2 linked regions of the Tamandua tetradactyla genome follow. The protein of the gene in region 1 interacts with the protein of each later gene in a pairwise test. Links are inferred from orthologs where the notes say so. Each region holds a gene or a part of one and is shown in the gene's direction. Other genes may lie near its edges. The genes, in order: ADARB1 and PRKRA.

What was found.
Region 2: the proteins of ADARB1 (region 1) and PRKRA interact in binary tests that used the Homo sapiens proteins (3 or more experiments, as listed by UniProt). The link is inferred for Tamandua tetradactyla from reciprocal best matches to the Homo sapiens genes ADARB1 and PRKRA.

Annotation. Positions count from the first base shown.
Region 1 is NC_135336.1:107,393,498-107,402,401, forward strand, and holds the start of ADARB1 (double-stranded RNA-specific editase 1), read left to right. Parts: upstream 1-5,581; 5' UTR 5,582-7,168; coding exon 7,169-7,303; intron 7,304-8,904. UniProt on the Homo sapiens protein: Catalyzes the hydrolytic deamination of adenosine to inosine in double-stranded RNA (dsRNA) referred to as A-to-I RNA editing.
Region 2 is NC_135329.1:150,949,515-150,957,713, reverse strand, and holds the start of PRKRA (interferon-inducible double-stranded RNA-dependent protein kinase activator A), read left to right. Parts: upstream 1-4,521; 5' UTR 4,522-4,755; coding exon 4,756-4,820; intron 4,821-4,955; exon of another isoform or gene 4,956-5,147; intron 5,148-5,273; coding exon of another isoform or gene 5,274-5,338; exon of another isoform or gene 5,339-5,347; intron 5,348-5,368; coding exon 5,369-5,538; intron 5,539-8,199. Other genes in the region: PJVK (pejvakin), read right to left, coding at 842-983, 1,496-1,691, 2,399-2,589, 5,274-5,338. UniProt on the Homo sapiens protein: Activates EIF2AK2/PKR in the absence of double-stranded RNA (dsRNA), leading to phosphorylation of EIF2S1/EFI2-alpha and inhibition of translation and induction of apoptosis.

The DNA of each region.
Region 1 (8,904 bases):
AAATCCTAAGGGTCTGCATTGTGATTCTCCTATAGGGGCCTGCCAAAGGCTCCAGACAGCATCTCTGTTTGCCACTGACACTTCCAGCACCATTGGATCTGCTGGATCATATGGCCCAAGTGGCAGAGCAGCTTGTACAGCAGCCTGGACCTGTCGCAGAGCCTCCTCTTGTTCAGGTCCCCACTCAAAATTAGCAGCTTTTCTGGTCACTCGATAAATGGGCCAGAGTAGCACACCCAAATGAGGAATATGTTGTCACCAAAATCCAAAGAGACCAAGTAGGCGTTGTGCCTCTTTTTTGGTTGTAGGAGGGGCCAGATGCAGCAACTTATCCTTCACCTTAGAAGGGATATCTCGACATGCCCCACACCACTGGACACCTAGAAATTTCACTGAGTTAGAAGGCCCCTGCATTTTTGTTGGATTTATCTCCCATCCCCTGATAACATTAATACCTTACCAGTAAGTCTAGAGTACTTGCTATTCTCACTCACTAGGTCCAATCAGCATGATATCATCAATATAAGGGACCACTGTGATGTCTTGTGGGAGGGAGAAATGATCAAGGTCCCTGTTGACAAGATTATGACATAGGGCTGGAGAGTTGATACACCCCTGAGGTAGGACAGTGAAAGTATATTGCTGACTTTGCCAGCTGAAAGCAAACTGTTTCTGGTGGTCCTTACTAACAGCTATTGAGAAAAAAGCATTTGCCTGATCAATAGCTGCATACCAGGTACCAGGCGACATGTTGATTTGCTCAAGCAATGATATCCCATCTGGAACAGCAGCTGGAATTGGAGTTGTCACCTGGTTGAGCTTATGATAATCCACTGTCATCCTCCAAGACCCATTTGACACAGGCCAAATAGGAGAATTGAATGGGGATGTGGTGGGAATCACCACCCCTGCATCCTTCAAGTCCTTAAGAGTGGCAGTAATCTCTGCAATCCTTTCAGGAATCCAGCCTTGCTTCTTCTTTTTTTTTTTTTCTAATTTTTAAATTAATTTTAAATAAAAAAAATGACAACAAAGAAGCACAAACATTCATAATATATAATCATTCTGTTCTACATATATAATCAGTAATTCACAATATCATCACATAGTTGCATATTCATCAACGTGATCATTTCTTAGAACATTTGCACCAATTCAGAAAAAGACAATGGAAAAAGAAATAAAATGAAAACAGAAAAAAAAATTATACATACCATACCGCTTACCCTTCCCTTTCATTGATCACTAGCATTTCAAATTAAGTTTATTTTAACATTTGTTCCCCCTATTATTTATTTTTATTCCATATGTCTACTTGTTTGTTGACAAGGTAGATAAAAGGAGCATCAGACACAAGGTTTTCACAATCACACAGTCACATTGTGAAAGCTATATCATTATTCAATCATCATCAAGAAACATGGCTACTGGAACACAGCTCTACATTTTCAGGCAGTTCCCTCCAGCCTCTCTGTTATGCCTTAACTAAAAATGTGATAACTATTTAATGCCTAAGAATAACCTCCAGGATAACCTCTTGACTGTTTGAAATCTCTCAGCCCTCTACATGGGACATGACTCCCAGGAGTGTTATTTTTTGCTGGCGTCTAGGCATTTAATTACCTTAATTAGTCTATTCTGGAGATTGCTTTCACTTCTTTTATCTAGGGTTTTCCTGCTGGATGAATTTGTTCTCTATCTGTTGTTTGACATTCAGTTCAGCTTTTTCTGGACCTCTAGCTTAGGTTTTGTTTAACAGAGGAGAATTTTTCAGTTCTTGTTTTCTTGTTTCTTGCCCTGCTTGTGTGGTGCCTTCCCCACACACACACACTTAGGAGGGTCTACTTAGATATTATAGACCCCAGCCAGATTTTCCCAGACCAAACTGGCCTCCTATCAGGAGGTATGAGTCACCTGCATCGGTTTTCCTGAGGGTGAGACCCAGCAGGTTGAAAGACCTTCCTGTGAAGTCTCTGTGTTTTTCTTATCCTGCCCAATGTGAGGTGCTTGTCTGCCTGCAGGTCCCACCAGCATAAGATGATGCGGTACCTTTAACTTCAACAGACTCTCCCTGCTGGGGGCGTGGTGGAGACAGAGGAGAGGTTGTAGGCTGGTTTTAATGACTTCAAATTGCCAAGCCCTGGGGTCTGAGTTCCTTGAGGGAAGGATTCCACCTGGGTGGGGCTTTACCCCTCCCCTGGGGAAGGCACAGGCTCCAGACGAGCCCTCAAACGAGCTTGTTTCTGCCTATGCCTGGGGCAGTTGCAGCCTGAGAAGTCCTGCCAGTGTATCCAGAGGCAGTCAAGCCTTTGTAGAAACACAGCCACAAAACCTCTGTTTCCTTTTTTTTCCTTTTTCCATCAGCCCTGCCCCCTTGGCCAGGGCAAAAATGAGCGACCCCCGCTTTGACCAGGTTCACCTGAGCTGGGGGCCTATTTTTAGTAGTCAGAATTTGTGAATTAATTCCACAATTGGCATTTGGTAGTGCTCAGTCCCTGCTGCTGGTAAAGTTCCTTTCCTTTCCCCTCTGGGAAGCAGCCTGTGGGGGAGGGGCACTGGCCACCACGGCCTGGGAACACACGGTTCTAGGGGGGCTCGCAGCTGGTCCAGACTGGGATACGCTGTGTGTCCAGGCACTGATGTGGCCCTAGGAGCTGTTTTTTTTACTGTTTCTGGTTATTTAGTAGTTGTTCTGGAGGACAAACTAAAATGCGCACCTTGCTAAGCCGCCATCTTGGCCCAGAAGCTCCCAATATTGCTTCTGATTTCTATTTTCCTATAAAGGGCAGTTCTAGTGGCTTCCACTTGGCCTTTCCCACCATATTAGCCCTCACTCCATGACTTAGAGAGCCAATGTGGGGATTCTGCTAGTTACTTAGTATGTTTATTCCAGTTATGCATTCTGGAACTGGGGAAATAACTACTGAATGGGTCCAGGGGCCAACTGGACCCACGTGAGATGAACTCCATCGATCACCTGGCCTCCATAAGCCCCCACTCTGATGGGTGGACCAGAGTGACGTTTTGGGTCCCCTGGAATTAATGTCACTTCTTAATCAGTGTCTAATAATCCCCGAAATATCTGATCATTTCCTTTTCCCCAATGCACAGTTGCCCTGGTAAAAGGTCATCGGTCTCCTTGGGGAAGGCTTGGAGGAAGATTAACAGTATAAATTTGTGGCAGTGTAACAGGGTTCTCCCCCAAAGGGACCTGGCCTCCCCTTTTGTGCTGGCTTGAAATGATATATGGACCCTAGAAAAGCCATGTTTTAATCCTAATCCCATTTTGTAAAGGCAGCCATTTCTTCTAATCCCCATTCAGCATTGTATGTTTGAAACTGTAATTAGATCATCTCCCTGGACATGTGATATAATCAAGAATGGTTGTTAAGATGAATTAGGTGATGACATGTCTCCACCCATTTGGGTAGGTCTTGATTAGTTTCTGAAGTCCTATAAAAGAGGAAACATTTTGGAGAATGGGAGAGATTCAGAGAGAGCAGAGCAGAACGACATAGCCATGAGAAGCAGAGTCCACCAGCCAGCGACCTTTGGAGATGAAGAAGGAAAAGGCCTCCCAGGGAGCTTCATGAAACAGGAAGCCAGGAGAAGAAGCTAGCAGACTCTGCCATGTTCGCCATGTGCCCTTCCAGATGAGAGAGGAAGTGTGACTGTGTTTGCCATGTACCTTCTCACTCGAGAGAGAAACCCTGAACTTCATCAGCCTTGTTGAACCAAGGTATCTTTCCCTGGATGCTTTAGATTGGACATTTCTATAGACTTGTAATTGGGACATTTTCTCGGCCTTAGAACTGTAAACTAGCAACTTATTAAATTCCCCTTTTTAAAAGCCATCCTGTTTCTGATATATTGCATTCTGGCAGCTAGCAAACTAGAACACCATTTATCTGACAAAGGACTGATACATAGAATATGTAAAAAACTCAAAATTCAAAAGTATAAAAATAATCATGTTTGTTCAAGGGGCTCTGGGTCTGTAAACTGTTTCAAGTCTGGAAATTGATTAAGGGGCCGTGACTCTGTGTTTTTGTAATTCAGGTTAGACTTCTGTTCACTTGACCTAGAACTCTTTTGTTTATACAGCTTGAACAAGAATTTAGTAGACTGCCCTTCTATTGTATTTCTAGGTACCCCATGATTTACTAGCCAATGCCACAAATCGCTGTGAGTCATAATTTTAACTCCTGCTTTGAGTTTGTTGTCTATTATAATAACCACATCCACCCTGTCTTTGGCGATTAAGTGCTGCCACCTGGCTTCTGCCAACTCGGGATCCTGTCATCCCTATTGTGTTTAAGGATTCCAGCTCAGTGACAGCAGTTCCCACAGTAATATCTGACCTACAGAGAAGTGCAACCACAGAGCTCTTCAGTGAGGATGGCGTTAGTCTCACAAATTTATTTTTCGCTGTTCTGGTAAAAGGTTCATCCTCCGGACATTCCTGGGGTGTAAGAGCAGTGTTTGCATGATAAATCCACTCTAACATTCCAGTCTCTCTAAGCCTCTGGATCCCCTCATCTACATTGTACCAGGGCAGTTCTGGCTTTTCAACCTCAAGTAATGTTGGCCACCTTTTGATCCATGTTTCAACCAACCATCCAAACAAACTGTTAATACCTTTTCTAACCACTTGAGCTATAACATCGAATGCAGAATCTCTGCTTAGTGGGCCCATATCAATAAATTCAGCCTGATCCACCCTTATATTCCTCCCACCATTATCCCACACTCTTAAAATCCATTGCCACACATATTCCCCTGATTTCTGTCTATATAAATTGGAAAACTCACACAGTTCTTTGGGAGTATAATGTACCTCCTCATGTGTGATACTTTGTACCTCACCTTTAGGGGCCTGTTGGGACTTTAGTCTAGTTATAGGTCTGGAGGAAATGAGGGGTGGTGGGGGTGGGTCATGAAAAGAATTAGAAATATCTTCCAAGCCATTTGCTTCAGGGCCTTCATTTGCAGTTTCATCTGGTGAAACAGGATTAATCACTCTAGGGCTAATCCCTTCAGCAGGAGGTTGGGTGGCTGTTCTAGTTTGCTAGCTGCCAGAATGCAACACACCAGAGATGGATTGGCTTTTAAATAAAAGGGGATTTATTTTGTTAATTCTTCAGAGGAAAGGCAGCTAACTTTCCACTGAGTTTCTTTCTTACGTGGGAAGGCACAGGATGGTCTCTGCTGGCCTTCTCTCCAGGCCTCTGGGTTCCAACAGCTTTCCCCGGGGTGATTTCTTTCTGCATCTCCAAAGGCCTGGCCTGAGCTGCAAGGACTGAGATGAGGAATGCTGAGCTGCTTGGGCTGTGTGTTGAGCTCTCATTTAAGCACCAGCCAATTAAGTCAAACTTCATTCATTGCAGCAGACACGCCTCCTAGCCAACTGCAGATGTAATCAGCAACAGATGCGCTTCACATGCCATTGGCTCATGTCCACAGCAACAGAACTAGGTGCCTTCACCTGGCCAAGCTGACAACTGACTACCACAGTGGCCAACTCTTCAAGGCAGGCAGGAGGTGGGGTGGCTATGTCCTCAGGGCAGACTATTAGACTATTACAGGGTTATCTAGAGAAGACTTGGCATGACCGAGGGTTTCAACCTTGCCACCGACATCATTATCAGTTCATATGTCACCATCCTATTTTTCAGGGTCCCACTCCTTTCCAATCAGTGCCCTCAGTTTAACAGCAGGTACCATGCTAGATTGAGATTTCAGTTTATATTGTAAAGTTGCTACTCTAACAATAAGATTCTGAGTCTGATTTTTGGAGATCTCAAGTCTACAGCTACAGGAAATAAGATTTTCCTTCAGGACATTCATAGAAGTGTGTACAGCTGTCAGATGGCACATAAGCTTCTCATTTGAAGTCTTAAGCCCACCCCTTTCACTCATTAACGTACCCGGTATATCTAGCGACAACTCTATGCCTCTTATTTCCACAAAGCTCCGTAAAGCTGTCAAAAACATTATCCCCCAGAGCCTGGCTTCATGCAGGCAAAGCCTTAGAAGAATCAAATGGTGATGTTTTGACTATCTCTTTTGCCAACTCACTCCATGGACTGAATGTCATTCTGATTATGGGAATCAGAGGCCTTAGTGCCTCTGAGCCCAGTCAGAGTAGAAAACCAATCGTAAAAACCCCTTTTTAGGATTCTATTCCTTAAGACCCCACTCCTGTATCAAGTTGTATTAGTTAGGGTTCTCTAGAGAAACAGAATCAACAGAAAATATTCGTAAATATTTCGTAAAAGTATCTCACGTGACCATGGGAATGCAGAGTCCAAAATCCACAGGGCAGGTTGTGAAGCCGACAACTCCAATGGAGGGTCTGGACAAACTCCACAGGAGAGGCTCACCAGCCGAAGCAGGAAGAGAGCCTGTCTCTTATGAATCCTCCTTAAAAGGCTTCCAGTGATTAGATTGAGCATCCCTCATTGCAGAAGACACCCCCCTTGGCCGATTACAAATGGAATCAGCTGTGGATGCAACCAACGTGATCATGATTTAATTCTATGAAATGTCCTCATCTCAACAGACAGGCAGGCACTTGCCCAACCAGACAAACAGGTACCACCACCTTGGTCAAGCTGACACATGAGGCTGACCATGACATCACATTATGATGTTATCATGCCTGATAATTTTTTGTTGGCACTGGGAATTTGACCTTGTTGGGTGATGGGTAGATATGGAATTCTTAGAAATGGTCTTGAGCTTAGCTCTGGGGCAACACAGCCGAGTTGCCTTGAACAGGTTTGTCCTTTCAGGTTATGTTTTAACCCTCGGTTAGGACACAGGTGTGAGCTCTGTGAGGTGTGTGTATTCCCACGCCTTCATGCTCCTATGAGGTTATGAGAGAACAGGCACTGTCCCCGGCCCTGTGTGAGCCCCAGGGGCTGCCCATGTGTCTTTCCAGCTGCGGATCCCTTCCTCAAACCTTCGGCGTTCTAACTGGTGCTCAGCTGAGCACCTGAGGCCCTGTGACTTCTGGGTTCCCTCTCCTTTGGCCTCTGTGGCCTGCGAACCGCAGATGCTTCCTGTGCTCCTGTTTCCATCTCAACTCGTGCACGTTCCCAGCTTCAGTGGGCGTGGCCCCCCCAGTCGTGGCCCCCCAGCCTCTGTGAGGTGACACCCCCCAGCCATGGCCCCGAGCCTCTGCTCAGAGACCTTCCCTCCCTGGCTGTGGCCTGGGAATAGGACTCGTCTCCCTTTTCATCTTGGCACTCGCATCCTCAGCTGCCGAGTTCCCTGCCGGCTCTCTGCCTCGGGAGGGAAGGTGAGGTCAGGCTCTCGTGCCACCTGGTGGAGGTGTCAGCACACCTGCTCGGACTTCAGTCATTGTTCTGTAATTAATCTTTATCTTCAGATCTGAAATTCTAGTCCCCGTGCAGTGTAGGTGGAAACGTTAGAAGTAGCAGTCGTATCAAACTGAAGACTGAATTTGTTTTTGGACAGTGAGGGTGAGGATTTTGCAGGTCCTCTCACGCACAGAGGCCAAAGTGCCACAGCTCGGGGGCTCGAGTGGGGAAGGCAGGTCTCAAGGCACTGCCTTCTGTTCAATAAGTGAGAGCCCAACTGCCCTCCTTGGCTGCCTTTTCCCGCCAGGCTAAAGCTGCCTCTGGCCATGAGGACCGCAAGGGAAGGCTGCACCACGGACTGGCCGTCACCCTTCCCTGCACGGAGCTCTGCAGGGGCTGAACCCCTTGACTTCTGCACCCGGGTGCCTCGTCAGAAAAGGATGTGCCAGTCCTAAGTGGTTGCATCCAGTGCAGTGGAAGGAAGGAAAATTGCAAGCGTTTAAAATCAAGTCAAAATTGTTTTACTTGTCATGAGTCCTGGAAAGGGCCGAAACGTCTTCCCTGAAGGTGGTGGAGACTGCTGGAGCGTGCCTCGTGTGTTATTCCTGCAGTCAGCCGGGTTCCCGCTCCCATGGGCGTGTTGAGCGCTGCCTCTGCACTGGGCCGTGCTGGCGTGGGCCCCAGACGGCCATCACCAGCAAGTGGACATGGTTTTAGGTTTAACCATTTCGCTTCAATTTCACGCAGACCTGTTTTTTAGCTTTACCCATGAGAAAGCTGAGACCAAGGAAGAATAAGAGACGCCACAACCCTTGTGCAGAGATGCTGCAGCGTAGCTTGGAAAACCATGTTTCAGAAGCAAGCTAGTTTATGTCCAGCAGCCTCCTGCTGGCTGCGGAGCTCGGTCCCTGCAGCTCGGGCTCCCTCACCTGCCGAGGGGGAGTAAGAACAGCACCTGCCCCCCGGGGAGGATGCGGGTGGCGATAATCACGATAGTAGTAATTAATCATCCTTGGTTCGCACTAGGAGAGGCGCGGCGTGTCAGCTCAAGGCTCGGGGGTTGCTGTCTGCTCCCCGGTCTTCATGCCCATCCCACCTCCTTCAAGAAGCTGCTTTCACTCTTCCTCAGACGGGTTTTGCTGTTCCCGGAGTGATGTCTGCACCTGTCTTCGGCACCAGGCAGTTTAGCACGTGACTAACAGGTGTCTCTCCAGGCCAGTTGCGCCCGGAGCTCCAGGAAGCGCTGAACCTTGGGGCTTGCAGTGGCTGTTCAGAATCCACGTTAGTTTTTAGGTTTTTAAGGAAGGGCTGTGTTAAAGCGCCTGTGTCAGCTTTGGGGAATGCATTGGACCTGGAACAGCCCAAATAGTTTCTAAAAGAAGTAAAAGGCTGGAGGGCTTATCCTGCCTGATTTCAAAACTTAGAAAGCTACAGCGTTGGTGTAAGACGTGACACGTCAGTGCGTGGGACAGAACTGGGAGCAGAAATAGACGCCAGGCTGCGGCCAGTTGGCTGTCTTCAGCAGCGCCAACGTGGGAAGGGTCACTTTTTAAATAAATGGCACTGAAATAGTTGGGTG
Region 2 (8,199 bases), on another chromosome or scaffold:
AAATTTGTAATCTCTCTGGAATAGAAGTCTTTTTTTCTTTCAGCTGCAGCTCTTGGAAACCAACTGCATTTAAGTGCTACAGCTGATGTTTTTCAATTTCCCTACCTTTTATCCCAAAGCCCCATAGCCTTCAGCATCTTTCCAAAGCAATCAATAAATTATTTTCAATGAAATGACTCTGTTTGTGTCCAAGAAATGATCCAATATTAATCAATTTGTTGGGCAGTTGAACACAAGTACTGAACAGAACCTTAATTTGCAAAGACTTGAAAAAATCATCAATGAACTCTATCTTTCTAATGCTGGTTTTAATAAAAACCAATCAAATCATTACTAAGTGTCACTGGATGACAATGGTAAACAATATAAATGGGCTGAAAGTTACACACAAATAATTTTCTAAGCTTTTGTTAAAGGTTTTAACGTTGAACAAGAGTTGTTTGGCCATTGAAATATTATTTTAGAAAAATAACTTTAATATAAAAATACAATTTCATCTTTTAAAATGTCAGTGCAGAAACTCCATTACTTAAAAATAAAATCAAAGATTTAAACACTCAATGGTTATTCTTAAAACAACATTTAAATAGTAAAAGGAGGGCTCCAGTATGCATCTTATTTCACAAGGATAGCTGTTTGGGTTGCATTATGTTACACATGTTTAGACTTCATGTTTTCTTGAATTTTTTTCATATTCTGACACAAAACCATTACTATGCAACATCCTATACAACTGCAGCATTTGACAAAATACATGCAGTATAAGCGCCTTTAGAAATTGAGTATTTTAATTTAAATCCCCACTGCAACTTCTTAGCGAGGCCTAAATAGTGTAGTTTACCCGCATTGCTTCCCCACGAATTCCAGCATGCACAGAGAGAGAGCACTGCCTTGTGGTGCGAATGCTTTCCATGACCACACATAATACAGCCTTTCTGCAACTCCGTGACTGACGTATTAAGCTGTGGTCAAAATTAATTTTTCTAAAATAAAGAAGAGACATATTCACAAGAAGCTGTAACATGTAATTATGTAGAATCAAGTACATTTTATGCTGTCATGTGTTACTCACTCATGGTCCAACATAACCAAAAGTAAAGCAAGGCAGGCTTAAATCAGAAAGCATGCCCAAAAGAAATTTCATAATCTGCCTTTCTTTCTATCTTCTTAAAACATATTTATTATAGGAGTCCACTGGAGGGGAACCTCTTAGTATATTGGTGACAGGCAGATTCCTATATTCTTTCAATCTAATAATTTAGCCAAATGTGAAAGAGCTGAAGCGATTTTGTGGAACAATTAAAAATGCTGTAAGCAAATTATTTTGGATACTGCCCCTTATTCAAAGTTTGGAGGTACTACTAATTTGTGTGTTTCAAACAAATTATACTAGTAAAATATGTGTATTTTATATATTTTATAATGCTTTATTTAGTTTATATGGTTAAAATATTTAATGAAAACATTCAAGTATATTCAGAATTATTAAACCTACCGTGTAGAAATCTCCTTGAGTAATGTCGGTACTTCCACTTCATGTTTGGTTACTATACCAAATGAAGCTTTTACTGCAACTGAATCTGATCCAGTAACATTAATCCCAACATCATTCACGATATGGTTGCCTCGTCTTCCATGAAGTGAAACATCTGATTCATCCTCATAATTCAGTAACTGATAAGAAGAAATACCTTGAAGAAAAAGAAATTAGTATATTAATGTCTTGAATTCATTCACTGTAAATTATAGATAGTAAAAGGTTAACTTACAATTCAAGACTCAATTACCCAAAGGTTAACAAGAAAGGGAACATTTCAAACCAAGATTAAAAATAGCCATTTGATGAATTTGACATAGAAAGAGCCAGACTCCTTCAGAAGAACCTGCATTCTCTTTTCAGTCAACAGAACTTCTAAAGCATCAAGATCCGCTAGGTGGTTGAAGAAAAACACAAGCGTTTATAAGAAATAAGTTGTCAAAATGTCAACTTCCAGTTATTTTCTGATCTAGCCTGTAAAATATTTTTTCAGTTTACCAGTTCTAATAACTAAATTGTGAAAAGTAAATGCAAGTTACTTACATCTCCAGTATCTCATTTGACCATGTGAGGTAAGTAGACCAAGTAATACGTTGTACAGATAAAGAAATATATCATATTCTATAATGATTTGGTTACAGCAACTTACAAAGTAATCGATAGTTTTGAAAGTTATTCAACCATTCGAGATTTGATAGTATATAAATTCCAGGCATTGTTAATTTTAACACTACTACTGTTGTAATAAAAGTTGCTTTATCACTGACAATGTGTATTACTGATATAGGTAGTATATATGCCTATATTTAGGTTACCAAGGATACAGCTGATAGTTACTACCAAGCAGACATTTAAACTTACCAGCAGAAATTTCTCTGTCTCCTAGGAGAATATCTTTCAGGGTAAATGGCGTTGAAGAAAATTTATATCTAGGAAACAGAAAGCATCGCTTCTTTTTTACCACCAGACTGAGCGGTTGGTACTTGTCAGCTTCACTGAGGCTTGGAACAGGAACTAATCTCCCTCCATCTCCAACTTGTTTGACAAAGCTCCTAGTAGCAGCAGCAAACATATTAATATGATATCAAAGTGTCATCCACTGCAACCCCCAGATAACAAATCCATAGTCTCAAAGTGAATCAGCCTTGCTTGATTTTAAATATAATTATATACTTCAAAAATGTAAAACATGGTTTTCGCCAAGTAGTTTACCAGCGTACAATTCACAACACTGCTGCCCCTGGTGTGCTCAAGTAATGAATTATAGATCGATGGTGTAAAATGATATACTAAAAGCAAGTCTAATTTGTAATGCCAATCTAATGCACTACAATATACATGGAAAACTAATATTACCTAAATATTACCAAAGTTCTTGATCAGGGTCATGACCAGGTAGCAGTCAGAATCCCAATTTTGTGGGAAACATATAGCCCTAAAGGAAATAACGCAGAGGTACCAACATTAGCCTTGGATACCATTTACAGTAGACATAGTCAGAAGGGAATTCCTAGGTCCACCATGCCAGTTCTGGCAACAGAAAAGCACTGCTTTGAATTCTTATAGTATACCCTTCAGTGTTTCAGCATTTCATTCATTTTCCTTCTTGAATGCTTAAACGAGGTATTTCATATTAAATATAAATTCACAGAAAACAGGGGAACAATTGTATGTGACTCTTTCAAAATACTAAATTAAAACCATGTTACATATAAATAACTACATAAACTTATTATGTACGGTTTTTGACTCTGAAGTGGGGCACATAGACTACATCTCTTTGAAATGGGGTCCTGCTGCATTTATTTTCTTTCTATTTCTTCATTATTCCAGTCACTCAACCTTCAAGAGAGCTACATGAGGTTTGGGTTTTTAAAGGAATTTTGTCACTAAAAATAAATTTTAGAAACAAATCTGAGTGTTGAAATACTGTATTGCCATAGTTCTCATGTGGACGTTAATATATCCTGAAATAGTGGCTATGTGTTGGTTATAAGATATTTACTAAATGATAACTTTGGTGGATTGATTGATACACATACATAATGGGGTAAGAGAAAGAGAATAGGCTTACTTAGAGCCTCTAGTAACGGAAATAAATTTGGCTAGATTCTGGACATTTTTTCATTTGCTTTCAAGTGTCCAAGGGCTCGCAGGATCTAAAAAAATGAGCTGATTTCAATAATGTCCCTTCTCGAGAAGAGCTTTGTGCAAAGCCTTTTCCAAGACACAGAGTAAGCACAGGAATAATTTCTGCCCGTTAATTTCTACCCCGAGGGAAACGAGACATCTAATGTCGTTGTCTAACCCCCACCAAGGGTGTTGTATCCGAGGAAAACACCACTAGACCAATAACTCAGCTCTGCAGAAACAGCGATTAATTTGGAATCGAGTCTACAGAAAAGCATGCGTTTACACCTAACATGGCTGGCTGGGTCCGCCGGTCCAGGAGGGTACAACTCAGAGTCGTGAATAAAGCCAAGAGACAATGGAGCCAGCCCGGCGGGAGAGAAGGGGTCTCAAGACATCCCGCGTGCCCCTAAAAGCAGGGCTCCAGGGCCCGGAGCGCCCACTGCCGTCCTGTAGTCTCGAGCATCCGGCCCAGTCCCGGGCTGCAGCACCACCAATTTTGTATTCGGGATTTTGAAATATTTTTCTTCAAGTGACCAGCCCCCAATCACGCAATAAAAAAAATTATAATAAAATTTAAAAAGTGTGTGCTTCAGGCCTCCCTGACCACTGGCTGGCTCCTGACAAGCTTTCCCTCCGGGCAGGAAACTACTTCCTTTTTAGGACAAAGAACTGCGAGCTCCCGAGCTCCCAGGCAGGGCTAAATCCAGCGGAGCCGGGCTCCGGGTAAGCGGCGCCTGACCGAGGAGTGCAGAGGGGAAAGGGCAGTGGCGAGAGAGGCCCCGGTTGAGGAGGAGGCGGGGCCTGGAAGGGAGAGGCAGGGCCGGAAGCCGAGAAAAGCCGCGAGCCGGTGGGCGGGGACGTGGGCGGGGCCGGGAGCCGGGACCGCTGTGCCGAGGCTCCTCCTCCGCCCCTTCGCCCGCCCCCATCGCAACAGGGACGCAAGCAGGGAGGGGTGGGGGAGTCGGAGGAGGGGAGGCGGCCGCGACAGTGGCGCTGAAGCCCTCCTCTCGGGATCCGCCGGCCCGAGAAGCGAGGACGTCGCTCCGCACTGCTCTCCCTCCCACGGCGAACCGTCTGTTTTAGCCATGTCCCAGAGCAGACATCGCGCCGCGGCCCCGCCGCTGGAGCGCGAGGACAGCGGGACCTTCAGGTCAGCGTCCGGGCAGCCGGGCCGAGCCGGGCAGGGCGGGAGGATCGGGGAGGAGAGGCGGGGGCGAGGGAGCCGGCTCTCCAGCAGCATTGTGGGTAAAGCCCTTTCCTGGCGTTGCCGCCCCCGCGGCTGCAGGCGGGCTGCCCGGCTGCCGGGCGGTGCGCGGATCCTCGGTCCCGCCCTCTTGGCGGCGCCTGGGCCGGGGTTTTCGGCCCTGGTCCCGCCTCTCCCTGGCGGCGCCTGGGATGGACTAAGGTGGTGCGAGGCCACCGATTGTCAGAAATCGCAGGCTCTTTGGGAAGAGATTGTGGGCTTGGTCCTGAGCAGGTGCGGCGCCGGCATCGGCTGTGTCCCCCAGAGAACCCCTCTTACCCCCAATCAGGTTGTCTCCCCAAAGACCTCCCTCAGCCTGCCCGCCTCTGCCGGGTACCCGCAGCAGCTGCGGCGTCTCACCTGTCACCGCTGTGGCGGTCAAAACTATCCTCTGTATGCTTTTGCTTCCGTCGCCTCATTGGCATTCAAAGCACACGTTTTTCTGGTTTTTGCAGTTTAGGAAAGATGATCACAGCTAAACCAGGGAAAACACCAATCCAGGTATTACACGAATACGGCATGAAGACCAAGAACATCCCGGTTTATGAATGCGAAAGATCCGATGTGCAAATACACGTGCCCACTTTCACCTTCAGAGTAACCGTGGGTGACATAACCTGTACAGGTGTGTATACAGTTAACCCCGATGACCATGTGGGTTGGTGATCACGTCTTGGTATTGCTTTTCAGTTCGAAAAGGCGCTCTGTTTTCCTAGAAACTGCTATGGGGATGATGTATTTTTGAAACAGACTTCTCATCCCTGCATATTGGGACATTTTAACTTCATCTCCCTAGTTTCCTCTTCCCTGGGTATCAGGAGAAGCTTGGAAACTGATAATACTTATCCAAGGTTCCTCTCATATCTTAAAATATCCTGAATTTTAGGGACTGGGGAGAAGTAGGGAAGTTTCTTGAAATAGCCATAGCTGGACTAGTAGGTACTGTCACTGTTATTATATGCAGTCTGAAAGATTACAGCAGATGTCAGGAGACATGACCCCGGAATTTTCTGAGCCTCTCCCCATTTTTTCTTGACTCTTTAGGCACTTTGGGCCCATTGTACCACATCTGATTTCTATCTGTAAGCAAAAGGAAGGGCAGAAGGCTTCACAACGCTGTATTGTACAGCAACTTCTAATTCCTGAAACTGTACTGATATTTTATATGACATGATTATACCCTTTTTATATATGAAGAAATAGGTTGAGAGATTATACATAATGTGTCCAGACTCACACGGCAAAGAAGTTACAAAGTTCAGACTCACGTCTTTTAATGCTCTGGGAATTTGAGCAGATGATAACTGAAGTTGTCCATCTGTAAAGTGGGCTTTTTAAAAAATTATCATATATCAATATTTAATTGCAAACACAAAACATATTGTATGCTACACGTAATTTTGGAAAATGCCAAGAAAAAATTCAGTAAGAAGATTGATGCCCTCTGGTAATCTGAAGGCATCATTTGTATCATTGGAATTCTGGAATCTGCTATTTTCATTGAAGCCACTCTAAGAAAAAGTGAAGCTTTTTTTGTCTCTGTGAGGCAGGTGGATTGTAGGTGTTGACTGGAAGATTCCTCACGTGAACCTTGCATTACTTTTTCACATGGTCTATTTTAAAATATTCAGTGAAAATTCAAGTGGAAGTAGCCTTTATCCTGCTCACTGTGTTTTAGAATGGGGATTGACAACCCACAGCAACCATTCTGCCCTATGCCCTCTTCCCTTCTCATACCACCTTCTCCTCTTCTACAAGCTCATCTGCCTCCACAGCTTCAGTACTAAGTACTGGTAATTCTGAAATCTCTCCTTTCCCCCCAGACTCAATTAGAGCATGGTGTACCAGCCTGTGCTATGCTGGGTATCTTTGTTGGATAACCCAAAGGTACCTCAAATATTCATTGTCCCAAAGTGAACACAACTCCCTCAAATGTGTCCCCCTGCATTCTCTATTCAATAAAGGTACTGCTATCAACCTGTTGCTCACACAAGGGAAATTTGGGTTTCTTTTTGACTCCTCCTCCCCACCCCTCTCTTGTCTATACTATCACCAAATCCTGCCTCCTAAATACCTCTTGGATCTGTCTGCTTTTCTCCTCTTCCCATTACTGTTGTCCAGGCCTCTGTCATCTCTCACCTGGATAATAGCTATAGTATCATAGATACCCTTTCAGTTTCTAGTCTTGTGGTGTCCGGTTCATTCTCCGCTCTACAACCAGAGTGTTCTTTCTAGCATCCAGGTCTGCTGATGTAGTTCCTCTGCTTAAAATCTATTCACTGGTTTCCCCATCACCCTCTGGATAAATACAAATTTCTTAACATGACTTACAGCCTTGCTTCTCCGGGTATGGTAATAGTAGCATTAACCATCACCTGGGAGCTTGATGGAAATGTAGAATATCAGGCCCCATCCCAGATCTACTGGATTAGAATATGTGTTTTAGCAAAATTACAAGCCCTTGCCTATGCATATTAAAATCTGAGAAACCCAAATTTGTGAGACTCTTCTTTAACCTCTTCCCCTGCTCCCCAACTCTCCAGCCTTATATCTCAAAATTCCCTCCCACAAGCTTTTACACTTTAGCCAACCAGGTGGGGCTCCTGAGAACACCCTGTGTGTGTTGGCTTTGAGCCTTTGTGCCCTTTTTTCTACCTAGAATGCTCTTCGTAACCCCCCAGCTCTCTTCACCTTACAGATTTTTACTAATCTTTCAGGTCTCCATTTGGTTATCTCTTCCTCCATGAATTTTTTCTCAATCCTCCCAAAAGTAGGGGAGCTTCCCCTCTTGTGTGCTCAGCTACAACATGTGCTTAGGTCGGTCCTAACCCTTACCATTCCATGTTTCAGATGTCTATTGACAGATGAAATCCCACACTAAACTGTATGCTCTGTGAGGGAAGAGACTCTTTTGTTCACTGCTGTCTCCCTAATACTATATTGGTAGGTAAATGAATATGCTTTGTATGTCCTCTGATATATAAGGGTCACGCTTAAAACCTCTTCCATGCCCCTTTCTTCTTTCCACATTGGAGGAATGGACATCGGCATTCTGACACCACTTCACACTAGATTCTCCACACCTAGTTTAAACCCAGAAGGTAAAGGATTAAATTTACCATTTACTGGAAGTGATTTCTTACTGAAATTAGGTGTTAGTCTTATCTCCCCACTTCCCTATCTGTATTCTGTATGGCAGACATGTAACATGAGATGACACTTTCTGTATATATAAACCCGTCTTTCACTATATCTAACATGTAGTCATGAATGCTTGGCTTAGCAG